Linked DNA regions of Schizosaccharomyces pombe. Changing the gene in region 1 together with any one later gene gives a genetic interaction. Each region holds a gene or a part of one and is shown in the gene's direction. Other genes may lie near its edges.

Evidence for each region.
Region 2: mutations in cdc45 (region 1) and chk1 impair growth when combined (synthetic growth defect), as found in Schizosaccharomyces pombe (2 studies listed by BioGRID).
Region 3: mutations in cdc45 (region 1) and mcm2 are lethal when combined (synthetic lethality), as found in Schizosaccharomyces pombe (2 studies listed by BioGRID, with this or other methods).
Region 4: mutations in cdc45 (region 1) and cbp1 impair growth when combined (synthetic growth defect), as found in Schizosaccharomyces pombe (one study listed by BioGRID).

Annotation. Positions count from the first base shown.
Region 1 is NC_003424.3:4,722,993-4,727,407, forward strand, and holds cdc45 (DNA replication pre-initiation complex subunit Cdc45), read left to right. Parts: upstream 1-1,779; 5' UTR 1,780-1,810; coding exon 1,811-3,430; intron 3,431-3,471; coding exon 3,472-3,768; 3' UTR 3,769-3,854; downstream 3,855-4,415. Other genes in the region: pex7 (peroxin-7), read left to right, coding at 26-56, 384-516, 646-1,408; Golgi zinc importer, CDF family, Cis4, read right to left, coding at 3,868-4,415. UniProt on the Schizosaccharomyces pombe protein: Required for initiation of chromosomal DNA replication. May have a role in regulating the MCM proteins nda1 and nda4.
Region 2 is NC_003421.2:1,057,769-1,065,044, forward strand, and holds chk1 (protein kinase Chk1), read left to right. Parts: upstream 1-2,027; 5' UTR 2,028-2,251; coding exon 2,252-2,319; intron 2,320-2,364; coding exon 2,365-2,606; exon of another isoform or gene 2,607-2,652; coding exon 2,653-3,081; exon of another isoform or gene 3,082-3,119; coding exon 3,120-3,327; exon of another isoform or gene 3,328-3,373; coding exon 3,374-3,563; intron 3,564-3,608; coding exon 3,609-3,905; exon of another isoform or gene 3,906-3,950; coding exon 3,951-4,007; 3' UTR 4,008-4,216; coding exon of another isoform or gene 4,217-6,427; 3' UTR 6,428-6,675; downstream 6,676-7,276. Other genes in the region: gid1 (putative Ran GTPase binding protein), read right to left, coding at 1-112, 157-421; ubiquitin-conjugating enzyme E2-C Ubc11, read right to left, coding at 1,122-1,203, 1,254-1,489, 1,659-1,748, 1,799-1,826, 1,875-1,969; protein Meu27, read right to left, coding at 4,217-6,427.
Region 3 is NC_003423.3:1,190,687-1,196,136, reverse strand, and holds mcm2 (MCM complex subunit Mcm2), read left to right. Parts: upstream 1-1,994; 5' UTR 1,995-2,028; coding exon 2,029-2,261; exon of another isoform or gene 2,262-2,480; coding exon 2,481-4,740; 3' UTR 4,741-4,929; downstream 4,930-5,450. Other genes in the region: SPOM_SPBC4.06 (acid phosphatase), read right to left, coding at 1-123; ubiquitin protein ligase E3 component mlo2, read right to left, coding at 794-1,783; COPII-coated vesicle-associated protein Sfb3, read left to right, coding at 5,325-5,450. UniProt on the Schizosaccharomyces pombe protein: Acts as a component of the mcm2-7 complex (mcm complex) which is the putative replicative helicase essential for 'once per cell cycle' DNA replication initiation and elongation in eukaryotic cells.
Region 4 is NC_003423.3:3,509,807-3,514,426, reverse strand, and holds cbp1 (ARS-binding protein Cbp1), read left to right. Parts: upstream 1-2,056; 5' UTR 2,057-2,087; coding exon 2,088-3,656; 3' UTR 3,657-4,000; downstream 4,001-4,620. Other genes in the region: protein tam12, read left to right, coding at 4,524-4,620. UniProt on the Schizosaccharomyces pombe protein: Binds, preferentially, to the Maundrell ARS consensus sequence within ARS3002.

The DNA of each region.
Region 1 (4,415 bases):
GCAACGTGCTTGTGTTTATTTGCCCATGCTGTCATTGAGGACTCCTGGGTTTCAAGGTAAGCTAAATAAAGGGAAGCGAAGCAAGACAAAATATTATATGGTACTAGTACTAGCGATAGTACAACTGCTTGAGAAAAATACAAATAAAATGAACGAATATTACCGAACTATAACTAAACTAAATTCAAATGATGTAGAAATACGAAATTTTGTTATTACTGAATATTTTCTTTATTTTGTTTATATTTTATTTTATTTTGTTTTGTTTTGTTTTGTTTCCTTTTAATTTTCCTTCCTTTTTATTGGAAAAAAAAAAAGAAAACAAAACAAAATAAATATCTTGGAATGCATAATTGTACATCGTTACTAACAATATTCGCTAGGTGAAAGTGTTCAATTCTCTCCACTTGTCGAAAACAAGATCGCTGTTGCAGCTGTCACCCATTATGGATTAGGCGGAAGCGGACGTCTTTATATTCATGATGTTACGCCAAAAGGAATTCAAGTTTGCCAACAGTAAGTAATTGTGCGATTACTGCTCTTCATTATTAGACTTTTGCACAAAACACTTTTAACCATTAGTTATTATGATGAAAACAGTCTCTAAATCCTACGAAATGAAATTTATCTAACGTTAAATACTAGCTATGATGTCGAGGATTCTTTGTTTGGTGTGCGCTGGTCTCAGAATTGTGAAAATCAAGTCTACGCTTGCTGTGGTGATGGTTCTTTGAGACTATTTGATTTGACTATGCCCTCTAAGCCCATCCATAAATGGAAAGAGCATAAAGCGGAGATTGTCGCAATAGACACAAATACGGTTGATCGAAGAATTGTAGTTACGGGCTCCTGGGATGGGACTATCAAATTATGGTTAGGCAATTTGCCTAACAGTGTGCAGACGCTCAACAATGGTTCGAATTCAAGGATTCTTACAGTTGCTACACATTATAGCTCTCCAAATTTACTCGGGTATACATCAAGTGATGGATTATGCAAATTTTGGGATTTCCGGTCTTCCGATAAATTTATGTCCATTGAAATACCGAATCAAATTACTTGCATGAATTGGAGCAAGTCTAATCATCGTATGGTTTACACGGCCGACAATAACAATCTGGTTTACTGTTACGATATCGCGAATTTAAAGACGCCTCTGTCCGTATTGTCTGGTCACCAACTTGCTGTTCGAAGTATAAAATCGTCCAATTCCGCCCATGATCTTTTGGCTACAGCAAGTTACGATATGACTTCTCGAATTTTTGACCCGGAACAGCACTCTTGCATAAGAAAAGTTGATTTGCATTCTGAATTTGTCCGTGATGTTGATTGGAGTGATTTCGGCGATGGATCTTGGATTGCAAGTGTTGGTTGGGACGAATCTTTGTATATATGGAACGCATTTTAAGTTGCTGCTGTTTTTAATTTAAGATTTTATTACACTGATTCAAAGACGAAATGTTCGAACGCTCGGAATAAATTCGTTGTGCACATGTTCACCTTGGATTATATCACCAGAAAACAGCGATTACAAATTATTTTTACGATAGTTTAGGTAGCTCAAGTGAAAAATTTAGTAACTAGAGTAATTATAATATGATTTTTGGCATTTGGCATAAAATGAGAAAGGGTTGTTTGCAATGCCTACAAAAATTTCTTTTTTTTGTAACTACTATTGCGTAGCTTTGACTTGTATATTAATGCGCTATTGTTTAGGAAATATAAAGCGACTCAAAGTGCTTTACCTTCCTTTGTACTGACCACCTGGTAATTTCCTCCATGATCCACCACCAGTAACGTTTATTTATTAATGTTCATCAAGAGATCCGATTACGCCTCTGCTTACTTGAAAATTAAAGAAGCAAGTGTATCTGGTGGATGCACAGTTCAGCTCTTTGTTGCTTTAGACCCAGACGCGCTTTGTGCATGCAAGCTATTGTCCACACTTTTGAAAGGCGATTTTATTTCACATAAAATTAGGCCTGTATCGGGCTATCGAGACCTTGAACAAGCAAATAAAACTTTGCTAGAGCAAAATGAAGATATCAAATTCATTATACTTTTGAATTGTGGAACGATGGTGGATCTAAATAATTATCTTGTTTCTATGGAAGACGTATCTATCTATGTAATTGATTCTCATAGGCCGCATAATCTAAATAATATATACATTGAAAACAATATTTTTGTTTTCGACGATGGAGATATTGAAGAAGACATGAATAAAATTCATGATGCTTGGTATGCATTTAATTCGCATGAGCTATCAGATGAAGAAAATTCCGATTCCAGTAATGAGCGAGAGGAGGAAGTCGAAGATGACAACCGATCTGTGGAATCTTACAGCTCATCCGATTATCAAGCACGAAGTCGTAGGCGTTTTTCAGAGGAAACGACGCAACGTCGAGCTGAAATTAAGGAGAAAAGGAAAAAACGGAAAGAGTTCGCCTCTATCCTTTCTGAATATTATGAGAAAGGAAGTTGGTACGGCGAGTCAATTACCAATATCCTGTTTGCAGTAGCATCCATGCTTGGACGTGAGGATAATGACATGTTGTGGTTAGCGATTGTTGGGCTCACCTGCTTGGAAATTCACTGCCAATCCTCAAAAAAATACTTCAATAGGTCCTATTCTTTATTGAAAGATGAAGTCAATCGCTTGAACCCTTCACCACTTGAAAATCAAATAGTCGGTCGCGCACATGGTAAGACACCCCATGATCAGTCAATTCGGCTTGAAGATGAATTTCGTTTTATGCTAGTAAGACATTGGAGTCTTTATGATTCTATGCTTCATTCTGCTTACGTTGGTTCGAGACTTCACATTTGGAGCGAGGAAGGACGCAAACGACTACATAAGCTTCTTGCAAAAATGGGACTCAGTCTGGTGGAGTGTAAACAAACTTATATTCACATGAACATGGATTTAAAAAAAACTTTGAAAAGTAGTCTTAAAAGATTTGCACCGTTTTATGGTTTAGACGATGTGATATTCCATAGTTTTACTCGGACTTATGGATTCAAATGTACACTTAGTGCAAGTGACGTTTCTTATGCTATCAGTGCATTATTAGAAATGGGTAATACAGGTGTTTTGCTTCAAAGCAAAACTGTCGCTCGAAGCCCGGATATGACGGAGGAAGAATATTTGGAGAAGTTTGAAAATGCTCAAAATCAAGAATGGTTGCACAATTTTTATGATGCATACGACGCCTTGGACGATGTCGATTCATTAGAAAGAGCATTGAAGTTAGCAATGCACTTACAAAGAGCCATTGTTCGTACTGGAATCACCTTACTTGAAAAAAGAGCCATTAAAACGTTGAGATCTTTTCGTTTTGGACTTATCAACGAAGGACCAGATCTGAAAATATTTATGCATCCCCTTGCGTTAACAAAGATGAGTCTTTGGATTGCTGAAGCTATTAATGTAAGTGTCTATTGATTTTAACGTTTGACTAACACTTGAAGGAGCAAGAACGAGAATTTGGAAAGCTTAGACATCTTCCTCTTGTTTTAGCAGCTTTTGTAGAGGAAAAAAATAGGTACTTAATAGTTGGAACTTCTACTTCCGCTTTTACTAGCAATGAAGATGACGATGATGACGACGGTCATGGACACAATCGTTTTGGAGTTGCATTTCAAGAGGTTGCAAACATGACATCTGCTACTTTGCAAATGGACTGTTTTGAAGCAAGTGTGATTGAGTGTCAAAAAAGTGACCTCGGGGTTTTTTTAGAAAGTCTGTCCTTCAAAACACTATTATAAAGATTGGGTAAATAATGGGAATTTTGCTAATAAAGAAAATATTAATTCATCTAATTAAAATTACACGTAAATAAGTATGGATATCAACTGATGTAAGAACTATTTTCCACACCAGCAATTGTTTGGCCGTTCAGATTGTATACAAATGTGTTTTAAATTTGGTACAGCGATTGAGAGCTTCCTAAATACTTCATTACGAACCACGTTTAAATCACCGTCTATGCTCACCTGAATATGGAGTATTCCATACACTTCACCTCTTTCGTTTGTCCAGAACTTAGGGTTGGATAAACTGATAACGGAGTTACTTAAACTGATGTTCGACAAACACTGCTTCAATAAATATTCCGATTCTGGATCAGTCACAGAGAGCAAATTCTTCGCCGAATCTTTAATTAATGGAAGTACAGAAACAAATATTAATGCAGCAATTATTAGAGATGCCAAAGGATCAAAACCGGTCCATGAAAACCACTGTATTAATATAGTAGAGACAATAACTCCAACAGAGCCCATAGTATCTGCGATAATATGCAGAAATATGCCATGCATATTATGATTTTCATGGTGATGATGACAGTGATGATCATTGTCTAAATTCTGGAGACTTATGCTTTCATGGTCGCATTTTTCATTGTATTTATGGA
Region 2 (7,276 bases), on another chromosome or scaffold:
TCTTTTCCTCGAGATAAAATTTGAATTTCATAATAGTAGATAGAAGTGTTTGATGGAATTGCATGATCAGCTTTTACAGACGCCGCATCATGTTCAGTGCCGGCTTCAGGACCTATTAAAGATTAGTTATAAACCATTATAATTAATACAACGAACCAAAGAAATAAACCCCCATGTTGTTATTCATCAATTCTAATGAATCTGACTTATCGTTGGGATTCCATGAAGATGGAATGGCTTTCGGCGTATTTGTTACATTGCCCTCCCTTGTCATGTCAAACTCTCGTAAATACTTCTCCCATTTCAGCCATCGTGGGTCACTTCTAAGCACATTTTCTCCGTAATTGGTTCCTTGTAAATACAAGGGGAGATTGTCGAAGTTAATCGGCTGTTTTTCAAGATTCTTTGGTGTACTAGTCATTCGCAGGTATGCTCTTGGTAGCATATAAACAGCCAGTTTTAGTAGCTTATTCAGCTATCAGTTTAAATGTTCAATTTTCTAATCAGTTTTTCTTTTGTAATTAAATACAAATCTTTTGTAATAATAATTGGTAAAACTCTTAAATTTTTAAATGACGTGTAAATTTCAGCAACTCTATAAAATGCTCTGAGACTGAAAAGATACTTCACTATACGGCTTCATAAGGATTAAAGGCTCAAAATTAGAAATACAAATATTAGGCTGTATATACAGTCCTATTACTAATCAGAAAAAAATTCAGGCACAACATAACATTGATACTTGTCTTGCGATAATACATAACACAATGACATTGAGAATCAATAATAATAAAATAGTATTATAATCTAACGGAAAGCTAAAAAAACGACTGCATTAACGGAATGCATTAAACAAGAATAGCTTTAATCGAGCATCATAATAACAACTTCAACTTCTGGAACTAAATAATGATAGACGGTCCTTAAAAAACCATTCGGTGGTTTTCAGGAGGTTGTGGCATTGCATGAAGGAATTGCTTAATCGATGAGATGAAATAATTTCAACTTCCATTATCAATGAAGAAAGTTTAACTAAAGACATTTTTTCAAGCATTGAATAGGAAAAGAAAATCCATATGACTAAACAGAAATGAAAATGAGTATGAAATAGACCGGCCTAACTAAATTTCATCGATTTCTTTATATCTCTGCATTAAAAGACGTTTGTACTCGATAGGGTCTTTACTCCACAATTCTGCAGCTCTAAGAATTGTTAATAATCAAAAAAGGTAAATGAGATATTTTCAACATACTGAGCATTCAAGGGAGAAGCATTGTTTGGCTCACCCAGCAGACTTTGTAGAGATAACAAAATTGTCTGTACGTTATAGACTGCTGACCATTTATCTTTTAAAATGTCTAAACATATGTTTCCACTCATATCGACATTGGGGTGCCACATTGGTGAAGTAAAAATGATAGTTGGAGGGGAATATGGGTAATTAGCTGGAAATGACATTGAAATTTTAAATTTCAATCCTTCATAGTACTATTTTCGTTACGTTAGTCGTATGAAAAAGAAGAAAGAAGAGTAGACAGTTATGAAAATGTAATGACAAAGATGTGTATTAATTTTCCATTAAAGTGCAGCTACAAGTAAGCACACCAAGCATTATTCATATACTTTAAATATTAAGCTTTCAAAATAAAAGTCATACCGTATCGCTTGGGCCGGTAATTGTGCCAGCCCAATGTAGCAGGTTAGAATCAGAATCTGGAAACGCACTAATTCCAGGAGTATTGGACATCTAGTCATAAAACCCTAGTTAATAACAAAGTAAAAAAGCTTATTACAAACCATTAAACTCATTAATTCGCTTCTCAATCTACAAATGCATTAGAGACTTTTTTCCTAAAAACTGTTTATTTTTTACCGTTTTGTAACGCTATGACCGTCAACAGCCATGCCAGCAGAAGAAGAGTTTTTAGAATTAGTATGAGGGTTCTGGTTTTGCATATCAGAATCCATTCCTCAAGTTGTTACTGTAGTTTCTCAATGAGTACGTGGTGGTAGGAGAGTAAGTTATAAACACAACACAACATGTGCTAATGTACACAAGTAAACGAAAACCGGATATCAAATTATAGTCCAATTTTATATCATTATATAGATTTAAAACTCATTTAAAAATTACCTTAATTTAATCTTTTCCAGTCTTTGATGATGTTAAGACTGTAAATAATACACATGCCAAAATTTGCAACATATGCTTGTGTTATATTATAATCTTCTTTCCCTTTACACCAAAGAATGGCTCAAAAATTAGATAACTTTCCTTACCATATTGGTAGAGAAATAGGTACTGGGGCTTTTGCTTCGTATGAATTTTGATTTGAAAAATACTATATACTAACTTAAGCAAGCGTCCGTTTATGTTACGATGATAATGCTAAAATATATGCTGTCAAATTTGTCAATAAAAAACATGCTACTAGTTGTATGAATGCAGGGGTATGGGCTAGAAGGATGGCTAGTGAAATACAACTTCACAAACTATGCAATGGACATAAAAATATCATTCATTTTTATAATACAGCAGAAAATCCCCAATGGAGATGGGTAGTACTTGAATTTGCTCAAGGTGGTGACTTATTTGACAAAATAGGTGGGTGCATGAACCTTTCGTTTTTACTAACGGACTTACAATTTAGAGCCTGATGTAGGTATTGATGAGGACGTCGCTCAGTTTTATTTTGCTCAACTTATGGAAGGTATTTCCTTCATGCACTCTAAAGGTGTCGCGCATCGAGACTTGAAACCTGAGAACATCCTTTTAGATTACAATGGTAACTTAAAGATTTCAGACTTCGGCTTTGCATCTTTATTTTCCTATAAAGGTAAAAGTAGGCTTTTGAATAGTCCAGTGGGTAGTCCACCATACGCTGCTCCAGAAATTACACAGCAGTATGATGGTTCAAAAGTTGATGTCTGGTCCTGCGGTATAATTCTTTTTGCTTTGTTATTAGGCAACACACCTTGGGATGAAGCAATTAGCAACACTGGTGACTACTTGCTTTATAAAAAACAATGTGAACGCCCGTCTTACCACCCATGGAACTTGTTGTCTCCAGGAGCCTATTGTAAGTCCTGACTGAAATTCCTTTAAACTAATGATCAGCGATTATCACCGGAATGCTTCGAAGTGATCCATTTAAGCGCTACTCTGTCAAACATGTTGTACAGCACCCATGGCTTACCTCAAGTACACCATTTCGAACTAAAAATGGGAATTGTGCCGATCCTGTAGCATTGGCATCAAGGCTCATGTTGAAACTTCGTATTGATTTAGATAAACCACGTCTTGCCTCATCTAGAGCATCTCAAAAGTAAGATCTTGCACAGTTGTTTCATATTTCTAACTCTTTCAATTAGCGATAGCGGTTTTTCAATGACACAGCCAGCTTTTAAAAAAAATGACCAAAAGGAGTTGGATCGTGTAGAAGTTTATGGCGCCTTATCCCAGCCAGTACAACTTAATAAAAATATTGACGTTACTGAAATCCTTGAAAAAGACCCCTCATTGAGTCAGTTTTGTGAGAATGAAGGTTTTATTAAAAGATTGGTATTATTTATTTAAACCTAAATTTTTTCTAACTATATGAAAAAGGCCAAAAAGGCTAAGAATTTCTACGAAATTTGTCCTCCTGAAAGACTCACTAGGTTTTATTCTAGGGCGTCGAGAGAAACCATTATAGATCATCTTTATGACAGTCTACGACTACTTGCAATCTCAGTGACTATGAAATATGTTCGAAATCAGACCATCCTTTATGTTAATTTACATGATAAACGGAAATGTCTCTTGCAAGGTGTTATTGAACTAACTAATTTAGGCCATAACTTAGAGCTTATAAACTTTATAAAGCGTAATGGGGATCCTCTTGAATGGAGAAAATTTTTTAAAGTATGTCTTTATCATAGGGATTTCATATACTAATCCATGTGAAAGAACGTTGTCAGTTCAATAGGGAAGCCGATTGTTCTTACAGATGTTTCACAAAATTAATTGCACATCTTTTGAAAGGTCGTGCCAGTTCGTTTGTAAAAGAAACCTGTTGTTTGACTTCGTTGTGAATTTATTTTCAATTTTGTGGTAGTACAAATGATATCCTAGGGAATAGGATTATTAACGCTTTGTCAAGCAAATATCAATGGTTGCGAATGCTGAAGATATATTATTAGCATAAGGATAGTTCTTCCGACTGGCCATGCCGTTTAATACATCATTGTACCCAATATTCTTTTCTCACAATTCTTTCTTCTTTTTCTCTTTTTTAGTGAGATATCTGACGGCTCATTTGATTTTAAAAGGGATAACTCTTCTGAAATAACTCTTTCAAACGATTCTAAAAGGTCTTCATTTTCTTGGTCGGAGTATAAAAACTCATCTTCTTTACAAAATAGTAAAAGGTTCTTTTTTGTGAATTCTTGTCTCTCTTTGGCTTCCAGGTAAGCATGCAAAGGAAAATGTGACATCGATGAACCAGTACTTATCAATGTAGTTATCCATAAAATATCGTCTGGAGTCTCTGCAGACATTAACATGTCTTCTCTTGTAGCCTCATCTACTTTTAAAAACTTCTTTCCGTGAAGTACTTCGGGAAGCTCTAAGAAACAGTTAAAGCCCTCACACACGATATGTAGCCAGCGATGATTTTCAGTAACAACGTATATATCCGAAGATTCAATTAAATGCATCCGGATGTCTCCTATTCTCTTTTCGGCTGCTACTTTGTGAACAGGTGTTAGTTCTCCTAAACTCACCTTTTCATTCACTAGTCGTTCTAATGCTTTCCATAGATATGTTTGGTGAGCAGGAGGATAAAGATCATATAGCATTAGCTGATGAGTTAATACCTTGATGTCCATTATCCCTTTAGACAACTTTAAGTGAAGCCTTTTAATACAGCTGTTCTTGTTTACAAGTGATAGCATATTTTCAAGGCAGCTATTAGTTATTTGAGGTTTCACTAATGTTTTTGATGTTCCATTTTTAGTATCGAAGACATTCATCAAGTTTTTATCTTCGTGCTCAAAGATGGTAATAGTTACTGTAGGTGGAAAAAAGGCTTTACTCTTGAATTGAACATCTTCGATACATATATCTAGGTTATCACAAAAGAAGTTTACCCAAGGAATTTCAGTAGAGCACATGTCTGATACTTGGGCAAATTTGCAAAAGCTTGGGGTAATAACCTTTTGGTCACTGAAAAGAAACTTTGTGCATTGCTGTGACAAGTCGAGGACCCTTTCATTATCTTTTTTTTCTTTTATTGTAGCCTGTTCGTTTCTAGAGCTTTTGGATTCGAGTACACTTTCATATTTCAATTCAGAATCATATATTGGCGATACTTCACTGGAAGCGATGAGGTCGGAATATATAATCTGTGTTTCTTCTAGGTCGGGAAATTCGGTAAAATCTTTTACTCCTTCTATTATGGCTTGTTCATTTTCAAAGCACTTAGATTCGAGTATATTTTCAATTGCTAATTCAGAATCATATATCGGCGATATTTCACTTAAAGTCGTGGATTCGGGATATAAAATCTGTGAAGATAGTGATAAGTCAGAAAGCTCAGAGCTCTGTTTTATATCTTTTAATTCAGCATTTTCTGAGTGGTTCGGTTTGTGGGTACCTTTAGGTGCTGATTTGGAATTATTAATTGGCGCCAATTTGCTCAAGGTTGTAAATCTACAGCTTAGAAGCTGTGGATACCGAGGCTTAAATATATCTTTATCTCCCGTATTGCTTTCTTTCAATAGTGCCCTCTTCGGTTGAGTTAAATGCGAAAATGCCTTTGTTGCTTTTATTGCGGATGTAACCTGACTAATGGAAGAATTTTCGTTAAATTTTTCAGGTTTTGTTTGGTATTTACGAGCTGCCAAATGTAATTTGATGTTACTATTCGTTGAAGATGATATTGATTCCTTTTTATTGTATGCAGCATTCCAGTATTGGGATAAACTTTTAAACGGCGAGCTATTAATAGTTGAAAGTTTCGTCTGGAGTTCTGATTCCATAAAAGAGGTGCCGCCCAATTGCAGTATACAAGCTATGAATGTTATTGGCTTGCTTACGCCGAGCTTGTCGAAAAGGTTATTAGCCTTTGAAGGATTTTGGTTTGAAGACTTATTTTCCTGTTGACTTAAGAAGCCTTCTTCATTTTTTTTTTTTAAAGTATAATTGTTCTCTATTGATTTTGGCTCAACTTGGGGTTCTAATGGCATTTCTGCCATGCTTTCATCGTTATCAGAACCCATACAGCAGAGAGGAGCGCAAATTTTTAGGATCTTTGATTTAAAACTTGTCCAAGAGCTACCAGAGCAGTGAGTATCACATCGGTTACTTTTTCCCTTTTCCTGTATTTTATCAGGACGAAAGGCACCTGATATTTTAATCTCTGGATAAGCAATTTTACTGTTCATTACGAAGTTACTTGGCTCTTTTGAGGCTTGAGTGATTGCCAGTTGGATAACTCAGTAATTAGAGATCGTGTTCAATCTCTTGAAGTGTATACAAAGGTTGGGTAAAACATGTTCAACCTTGGGTTATTTATATTAAAAAACAATTCATTTCGTTTATATTAACACATTGTTTTATCATAACTAATAATTTATGAAATCCCTCACAATAAACAAACATCGAATGATAATTTGATGCTCACCTAACATTTGCTTAAAAAAGTGTTAAGTAAACATTTAATATTACTAAAAGATGATCATTTAAAAATAAAAGCTTTCGCTAACCATTTGCATCCTGGATAAATAGCTCAAATAACAAAGGATTTAGATTAACTGAATAGTAATAATATCCTTAGCTAAGCCTTTGAACTAAGCCTAAATAAACAACACCAATTACTCACTATTTACAATGGATGTTTGACTTGTAACCAATAAGGAGGCAAGATTTACTAAAGACAACCAAGTATAATGTTGTAAACAAAAATAATAAACAAATCAACATTGCTGCAATTATACATTCGAAAAGAATCATTTAACGCAATTCTGAGTTAAAGGAAAATAATGTGTAAATAAACAAACGAAAAAGAGTGGAATACTAGCAACTGTAAATAAACAGAAGTTATTTTTTAGTGATCGAATTATATTGTATTTATGTTGTCAAAAGTTATTGATTCATGAATACCCCCGAAAATATCTTTCTGAAGTAAAAATTTCAGAAAATAGAAAGTGTTTTATTTTCGTTCGTATGTTAGTACGAATATCAAATTTCCAGTTTCATATTGCGTGACCAACACATTATTTATTAAAAATTTT
Region 3 (5,450 bases), on another chromosome or scaffold:
CACGGGAGCACGTTCACCATGTCGAAATATGACTTGTAAATATTTCAGTTGCAGCTGTTTTGGATAATCGACTCCGGGAACTGAATCCGGGAATTTAACAGAAGCTGAAGACATTTGAGACATGGCGGCTAGGAAGTGGTTGATGATGCTGGATAAGAGCTGCTGTCAACTAAGGTCTCAATGCTTGAACATCATCGCAAAGCTCATATAAAATATGAATTACTGAATATTAACGAAACGACACTATTTGAAAATTAGTTTTGTTTATGAAAAGAAAACAATAAAATATAAAGTTAATTCAATCTTAAAAAACTGTTAGGAAAAAATTAAAATGAAAGTCATTATGAGATATAACAAAAAAAAAATACCCAGACAGGGTTTCTCTTTAGCTTTCTCAATCAAAAATAAAAGATAAAAGACGCAACCACCAAAACTATAGATAGGTTTAAAAATTTTAATGAGTGCAGTTAAAATAGGAGAGACAAGAAAGCTAGAAGTTCAATATATTAATTATTGTTCAAATATACATACAAATTTGTCATCATCATTAAAATCATGTATACCAACAAGCCCCAGTAAGCCTCTCAAATTAACCATCTCTGTTAAGAAAATCAATTAAACCATTTTTGATAGAGAAATGATTACGTTTAACCATAAGCACATAGAAAATATCTCTGGTTTCACCAGTATAAACAGCGTTTCACAAAAAGCATCACCAGATTAAGTATAACCTACATGTTTTGACGTTAAATTATACGCCAAAAAAGAAGGGAATTCAAAAAAGTTATTAACGCTACCGTAAATTTTTACTGATTCGAGATCGCTCCAAGAAAAAATTTGATATATCTTCCTTGGTGACAACCCTATTTTCACGAGCAAATGGAGTGAGGAAGTCCGTTAGCTCAGATTTTAAGCGATTATACGCATAAACGCTTTCGTTAGCTTGTACACGAGGAAGTCTGTCCAAAATACGAAGGACATCATTCATTGTGCTAGATATGACTTGCTCAATCATTTCTCCAGATTCACTGGGATCCTCATTCATCTCACTGATTCCATCCTCAGAATCCTCAGGAGGTTCGTAAATAGGTTCTTCTGCCACCAACATTGGCATCTCCAAATTACGCAAACTGATGCAAGATTCACAAGGGCACAAATTTTCCCTAAAGTTTTCTGAAAGAAATAGAGGCGCTCGTTCTGTACCAGCTATGCTTTCATGCTTCTGGTTTAAAAGATGATCGCGGTATTTTTCTGAACATTCTGAACACACCAACCATTCAAAAGTCTCAGCATCTGGGATTGCAATTCCTTTATTAGTTTTCTGCAGACACTTTTCGTGAAACCAATCTTCGCAAAGGATGCATTGAAACATAGTTCCTTCCTCTGTCTCTGGATTATACACCGTATCACATATGCAAAATCGCCCTTCGAAATTATGATTATAATCATTTTCTGAGCCACATTCATCAACGGATTTCCGTAAATTACAAGGTATGGAGTGGGTTCTTGTGGTGCCACAATCACATCGAAAATGTCGTTTATTGAATAGGTCCACAAGATCATGGTCAGCATGGCAGCTAATACTGCAGCTATAGCAAACAGCATTTAAGCTTCCGCTAGCTTTTTGACATGTCAAACAAGCGTATAAAGGTTGCTTCAAATAGCCCATCGAATAAGTGCACGTGTCAAAGCTGTAAGGCAAAACTTCTCGTGCCTCCCTTTCAAGCTCCCTTTGCTGTTCAACATATTGCTTAACCGTTAATTCATGAGCCGTTTCCTCCATAAGTTATTAAATGCAACTAAACGTTGGCAAATAGACGGCGTAAACAATTGCGAAGAATGTCTTTTGAATAATTCAAAACACTAACTCATTACGCTCCTCTATTTCATTTACAGGTATCACTACATTTTCCAATACAATTTAACAATATACTGTAGCATTTCTTATTCTTTCATCCTGCAATACTCTAGCTATTCAATGCATTAAAATAGTTAGAAACAACATCTTTAAAGTATTTGAGTCCAAAGATGGATTCTTTTCGGAAAAGGGGTCGCCGCGATTCTGAAAGTTTACCTTTTGAATCAGAAAATTCTTCTCTCGGTGCTACACCTCTTTCTTTACCTCCTTCTTCACCTCCTCCAGAATTCTCTGATGAAGCTGCAGAAGCTCTCGTGGAGGAGGATATTGAGGATCTGGACGGAGAAGCTTTAGATGTAGAGGATGAAGAAGGTGAAGATTTGTTCGGAGAAGGAATGGAACGGTAAGTTTTATAGCTATGCTTGAGACGTGTCTTGTCAATGTTGTGTATACTAAGTGTTGCCATCAATATATAAATTACATACTATTTCTTCTCCTTCTTGTAAATAAATATATTTATTGGATTCCTAGGTTGCGGTTATATTGACAGAACAAATCTTGATTTTCAAAAGAGTAGTTTCACATTTCGCGTCAAATAAGGTACTTTTTTCTAACTGTATAGTGATTATCAACAAAATTTGGAGCTAGATCGTTATGACATTGAAGAACTAGATGACGATAACGATCTTGAAGAATTAGATATCGGGGCCCGAAGAGCTGTTGATGCCAGGTTGAGACGACGTGATATTGAGCTCGATGCTGCTGCAGGTAGAACAAAACCTGCTGCATTTTTACAAGATGAAGATGATGATTTGGACTCCAATCTTGGCACAGGCTTCACTCGTCATCGACATCGAATTTACGACGAATATTCACCTAATGTTGGCGCATTGGACGAATCTGGTGAACTTCCTCTTGAATCAATTGCCGACGTAAAGGCCGATAGTATTGCCGAATGGGTTACTCTTGATCCTGTTCGGCGTACAATTGCTCGAGAATTCAAAAATTTCCTTCTTGAATATACAGATGAAAATGGCACCTCTGTATACGGTAACCGTATTCGCACATTGGGTGAGGTTAATGCTGAGTCGTTGATGGTTAATTATGCCCATCTTGGTGAATCTAAACCCATTTTGGCTTATTTCTTGGCCAATGCGCCTGCACCTATTTTTCGCATATTTGATCGTGTTGCTTTGGAAGCCACTCTTTTGCATTATCCAGACTATGAAAGAATACACTCTGATATTCATGTTCGTATCACTAATCTTCCTACTTGTTTTACTTTACGCGATCTACGACAATCCCATCTTAATTGCCTTGTACGGGTATCTGGTGTCGTAACTAGGCGCACTGGGCTTTTTCCACAATTAAAATACATTCGGTTTACATGTACCAAATGTGGTGCTACTTTGGGTCCATTTTTTCAAGACTCTAGCGTTGAAGTAAAAATTTCTTTCTGTCACAACTGTTCCAGCCGTGGTCCGTTTGTAATCAACTCTGAACGGACTGTATATAATAACTATCAAAGGATCACTTTACAAGAATCACCTGGCACCGTCCCCTCAGGTAGACTGCCTCGACACCGTGAAGTTATTCTTTTAGCGGACTTGGTTGATGTTGCCAAACCAGGCGAAGAGATTGATGTTACTGGCATATACCGCAATAACTTCGATGCTAGTCTGAATACCAAAAACGGGTTTCCTGTCTTCGCTACAATTATAGAAGCAAATCACATATCGCAACTTGACGGCAGTGGTAATACTGATGATGATTTCTCTTTAAGTCGGCTTACTGATGATGAGGAAAGGGAAATTCGGGCATTAGCAAAGTCGCCTGATATTCACAACAGAATTATTGCATCGATGGCGCCTTCTATTTATGGACATCGCTCTATCAAAACTGCTATTGCTGCTGCTTTATTCGGTGGTGTCCCCAAAAATATTAACGGTAAGCATAAAATTAGAGGTGATATCAATGTTTTATTGTTGGGAGATCCAGGAACCGCCAAATCTCAATTTCTTAAGTATGTTGAAAAAACGGCACATAGGGCTGTCTTCGCCACAGGTCAGGGTGCCAGTGCTGTTGGTCTAACTGCATCCGTCCGTAAAGACCCCATTACGAATGAATGGACTTTGGAAGGGGGTGCTTTGGTTTTAGCAGATAAAGGTGTTTGTTTGATTGACGAGTTCGATAAAATGAATGATCAGGATCGTACTTCTATTCACGAAGCCATGGAACAACAAAGTATTTCTATTTCTAAGGCGGGTATTGTGACTACCTTGCAGGCGAGGTGCACTATTATTGCTGCCGCTAATCCCATCGGTGGACGTTATAACACTACAATTCCTTTTAATCAAAATGTTGAGCTGACCGAACCTATTTTATCTCGTTTTGACATCCTTCAGGTCGTCAAAGACACGGTTAATCCTGAAATTGATGAACAGCTAGCTAATTTTGTTGTATCAAGTCATATTCGATCTCATCCTGCATTTGATCCGAATATGGATGTCTTGAAGAAAGTCCCTACTGAGACTGGTATTGATGCCAAACCCATTCCCCAAGATCTTCTTCGTAAATATATCCATTTCGCTCGTGAAAAAGTTTTTCCTCGATTACAGCAAATGGATGAAGAAAAGATTTCGAGACTTTATAGCGATATGAGACGCGAGTCACTGGCTACTGGAAGTTATCCTATTACTGTGCGTCATCTGGAGTCTGCTATCCGTTTAAGTGAAGCATTTGCAAAAATGCAGCTCAGTGAGTTTGTGCGCCCTTCACATATAGACAAAGCCATTCAAGTGATTATTGATTCCTTTGTGAATGCCCAAAAAATGAGTGTTAAACGAAGTTTGTCAAGAACATTTGCTAAATATCTTATTTAATTTTTTGACACAATCAGTTTATGGAGTCCAGTGATTTTGATTTCCCCGTTCTTTGACCCTCCTTTTGTTACTGCATCTGTTGCATATATCTATCCTTTAATAATTTGCAATCAAAATTTGCTTTACATTTTTATACCTATCTTTACATTCATTCTTTCTTAGTTTTCAAAATGTCAATCTAAATTATTTAGGTTAATAACACTTGTTTTGAATATCATTATTGACTATTCGCTATAGATACTAGGTGTATAGATACTTTCTCCGCTGTATCAATATTATTAGCTGTTTCATTAAAGAGCCACTGCCCATGTGAAATGACATTTTTTGAAACAGCTGAGGTTTTTTACATATAGAGCTAAATTGTCCATTTCCAAATTTAAAGGGAAGTCAACTTTTGACAATCGGAAATGCATCCAGTTCATATCTGATGTTCCTGAAGAATCTCAAATTTCACACTTTATTATCTAAAATTATTTATATCGTGTTACTCTTTCAAATCAGTCTTTTTATTTGGTATATATTTTGCCCTACCCTTACCTACTTATATTCGTACATCCACCAAGTAAACTTGACACAAAAACAAAATGGCCTATCCCGGGCAGTTTGGAAATTACGGTAATCCTGAGACTTATAGGCAAAATGTTGCTGGCAATATTGCTTCATATGGGGGCCCTGAAATTGACACTCAGTTAGCTGCTCAAATGAACGCA
Region 4 (4,620 bases), on another chromosome or scaffold:
TTTACTGCTTGGATTTGCGTACTGTTTTGTTTACATTTAGGTAGCGGTTACCAGGTAGATTGGACGAGAGGTAGCAATCGACCGTTTATTGTGGCTTACCGCGTCGTTATACCGTAAACAACGCGCTGGATTCATTGTAAATAGCAACGAAGCGCTGTAAAAAGCCGACAAAACATTAGCATTTGTACACGCTCTCTACCTTCACGCCTTTGCTGCCAGGGTGCGTTTGAGACAGTTAGTTGCTAAGTAAAAAAATGCCAATTCGGCTGGATTGAACTCTAAATATTATTTATTTATTTATTTAATTCATATTGTTTCGGTAATGAATTTGGTAATGTTTACATGATTCTTCTCAACTCAATGTCGGAAACCAACATGTGACTTACCAATTTAACGATATCAACCCTTTTTATTTACTTCATCAGCAGGTCCTTAAAATGTATACTATTTCGATCTAATTTACCTCGTCACACTGCTGTGGCCGTTCAATTAGTGGGGCACAAGACATATCAAAAAAATAAATAAATAAATGAGAAAGAAAGGATTCGAAAAGAAAATTAAAAAAAAAAAAAGACTTTCTTTTTCATTGTCATCTGCTCTGCCACTAAGGAGTCCAAGCAGTTTTCTTCAGGATCCTACATAGAAAACCATACTTTTTGAATTCTGATTAAAACAACCCAATTTTCACTTCATCCTCTGCTATACCATGCTGCCGCTCAAAGGTTTGTCGCGCTAAGTCTGTTAACATTTACAAAGTCCAATTAACCGAGGTAGCATTTACCGAGTCGTTATTTACAAACGGGGATGAATAAGTAGTAATTAGACTGGCGTCATGTAGTATGAACATTCGCAAGTGAACTAGGACGAAAGATAAGGTATGCGACCGATACCTATCTACTTGAGGTTCTGTAAGTTAACTGCGCTCAAATTTCTTGATACACCGTTAATGAATATCTGATATCTTGATATTTTTATTTTACAATGGCTTGTGAAGATATGCTATTTTAACAACTGCAATGGTTTCGTTCTCTAGACCCGGATCTAATAACCGATTATCTGGCAATGTGCACCATCGGCATTTGGTAATATAGGTTGGCAATTAAGAATGGAGTGATAATGAGTTTGAGGCGTTTGAATGCTATTTTTTGAAGAAAATATGATTTCGGAAAATGGAATTAAATATGCATATCATTTAATATAATTTTATTAGCAAGTTGAATTTCCAAGGCGATAACTAACTGTCCGTTTGTAAGTGTAGAATGTTCGTTCATCTACTGTCTTCCATATATGTTCATGTTCTGTAGACTAGTATATATCCACGAAATAAAGAAAATTTATCAGTTAGTAAGTTACAGTAAAATTCATGATACCGTCAATTGTAAAAAAATATGTGAATTGCTACACAAATTGCTTTTTTTTAGATTGACTTGAATGCAATCCTAGCAAAAATTATTAGTTTTTACTGAAGAATATAAAAATTAAAAAAAAAAAAAAAAAAAAAGAGAATAAAAATAAATTTAAATACATCATTTATAGAGTTTGACCTTTTTTTTTAATATTTTATAGTAACCCCATCAATAATCAATTGTTACTACTTTTTCCATAATTTAGTCCCTTCGTCCCCTGAGCGGAATTATTTTTTTTTTAATTCCTTGTTCCATTTTTCCTTCATCGCACTATTATTGAGCAATTTTACGCAATTTCACAAATATACTAAATACAAAACTAACAATACTCTTACTGGTAATCCAGTTTATGTCGACCAAAAACTTTTATTTGGAAACCATGAAATAGCACCAGGAATAATTCATTTTTTTATACCACTGCAAAAAATTGGCCCAGATGAATTAGGAAAGCCAAACCTGGTACGACCATATGTTGATTTTTGAAGATGAAACTCACTATACTGTTTACCGCTGTTTGTTTCATCGCTTAACAGATATTAAGCTTAGATATTACGTTACGCTGTTCAGTATAATATTACGAACTCGTGACTGTTAGTGTCGTTTTATTAAGGCAAGAAACCTTTGCTCTGCTATCCTTATATTTTCACTTCAAGACATTAGAAATAATAAAGCTATCGAGTAATGGGAAAAATCAAAAGAAGAGCCATTACAGAACATGAAAAACGCGCTCTTAGGCACTACTTTTTTCAACTTCAAAACCGTTCCGGTCAACAAGATCTTATCGAATGGTTCCGTGAAAAGTTTGGCAAAGATATTTCACAGCCTTCCGTCTCTCAGATCTTATCCTCCAAATACTCGTATCTGGACAATACTGTAGAAAAACCATGGGACGTGAAACGTAACAGACCACCGAAATACCCTCTTTTAGAGGCCGCTTTATTTGAATGGCAAGTTCAACAGGGTGACGATGCTACACTTTCCGGTGAAACAATTAAGAGAGCCGCCGCTATTCTTTGGCACAAAATTCCCGAGTATCAAGATCAACCGGTTCCGAACTTTAGCAATGGATGGTTGGAAGGTTTCAGGAAGCGCCATATACTTCATGCAATTAATGAACAACCCACCGAGTCTGTGGTTTTGAATAATACGGAACCACCTAATGATCCTCTCTCTCGTGTTTACGATGTCACGCGATTAACGAATATTAATGATATCTTCACAATGCAAGAGACCGGTCTTTTTTGGAAATTGGTTCCAAATGGCACTCCCGAAGTCGAAGATATAAAAGGTATTACTCGATTCAAAGCTCGTATTACACTAACCGTGTGTTGTAATGCTTCGGGAACCGAACGTTTGCCTTTATGGGTTATTGGATACTCACAATCTCCCAGAGTGTTTCGGGCTGCTAATGTAAAACCCGAAGTAATGAATTTCAAATGGAGAAGTAATGGTAAGGCATCCATGACCACAGCTATAATGGAGGAATGGCTACGTTGGTTTGATGCGTGTATGGAAGGTCGCAAAGTCATACTTCTTATTGATAGCTATACTCCACATTTGCGTGCTGTTGAAAACATTCGAAACTCTGGTAATGACCTCAGAAATACAACTGTAATTACTTTACCATCTACTTCAGCCTCTATTTCCCAGCCTTGTAGTGAGGGTGTGATCTATGCTCTAAAAGCATGCTATCGCAAACACTGGGTTCAATATATATTGGAACAAAATGAGTTGGGACGCAATCCCTATAATACTACTAATGTTTTAAGAGCTATTTTATGGTTGGTGAAAGCATGGACGACAGACATATCACCAGAAATTATTGAAAATGCCTTCAATCTTTCCGGTGTTCTTGGTCTATTCAATGAATCTGCCGTTACCTCGCGTGCCTTGGATGAAATGATTCATCCACTTCGTGAGCTCGTCTCAGAGTTTTCTGTTCAAGCTGCTATGCGTATAGAGGATTTTATAAGTCCTTCAGAAGAGAATATTGTTGATTCCTCTGAGGATATAATCAATCAAATTGCTTCGCAGTACATGGATGATCGCGCTTTCGAGACGGACGAAGAAGAATCTACTGAATTCCAGATTACCACTAAAGACGCTATGAAGGCGATCGAGCTTTTGCTAAACTATGAAGCTCAACAACCCGATGGAAATCCTGCAATCACGATTAGTCTATTAAATTATCAGAAGCTCCTTGAGGCAAGGGGTGGTAACGTGAATCTTTCTCGTTTGAGAAGCACCTAATGTCTGTATTCGTTGTGCATATTTGACTTTTTTGTTTTTGGTTTGTATTTTAGTAGTTTTAATTTTCTTTTTGTTGAGTTTGGATCCCTTACCTAATGAGTAATTTGCTTTTATTCCTTCATTTTAACTTGTTGCTCTATTTTTAATACCCGATTGCAACTGATGAGCTTATTTGATTTTTCTTTGTTTTTATTTTAATTTTTTTAAAAAAACCTTTTCGAAGTTTCTTAAACGCAAAATCGCTATACGAGCTAATGAAATTGAATATTATACATTTTGTAATTCATGTCTCGCAATCAAGTGCTTTTAATATTGATACTATTTATCTTTAAAAATAAAAACCGGCTAAATGTAAGAAATTTTTTTTTTTTATTGAGGCATATTTGTTTTTTTAAGGTCGAGATTAGATTGTAAATAGTTGAACCGTAGGGGTTAGAGCTTCAAAAAATGATAAATTATTACTGTGAAACCCGAATTTAATCCATTTACGCATGATTGATTTTATAAAAATGTACTTCTCTTTTGCTAACTGCTTCGTACTGTAAATAAGCTTACTTTACAGTTAAGCATTACAAAGGTATATGATGTAATGATATAAGAAATAATCAATAACGAACTTTGATGTTATACGTAACATGAAATAACGATTTCTCTTCGAGACCTAGACTAACATGGCGATGTTCATAACTATGGCGAGTAAGCACATTTCTATTTCTACAAATAACTCAAATCCTTTGCTTGAACAATCAAGCGTGTTATAGCTTATTGGAATTTTTTAAGACTTTTTACAGCAAGAATCAGTAAAATCAGAGAAATTCGAATTGGCAAGTCTTCAAGGTTGTGTCCATTCGGAATATTTATTAAAGTATGTCAACAACTAGTTCTTCGTCGACGTTTTCTACGAGAACAGCGTCTTTATCCCAATCATATACAAATTCATTAAAGAAGGAAGCTGCTCAAAAGA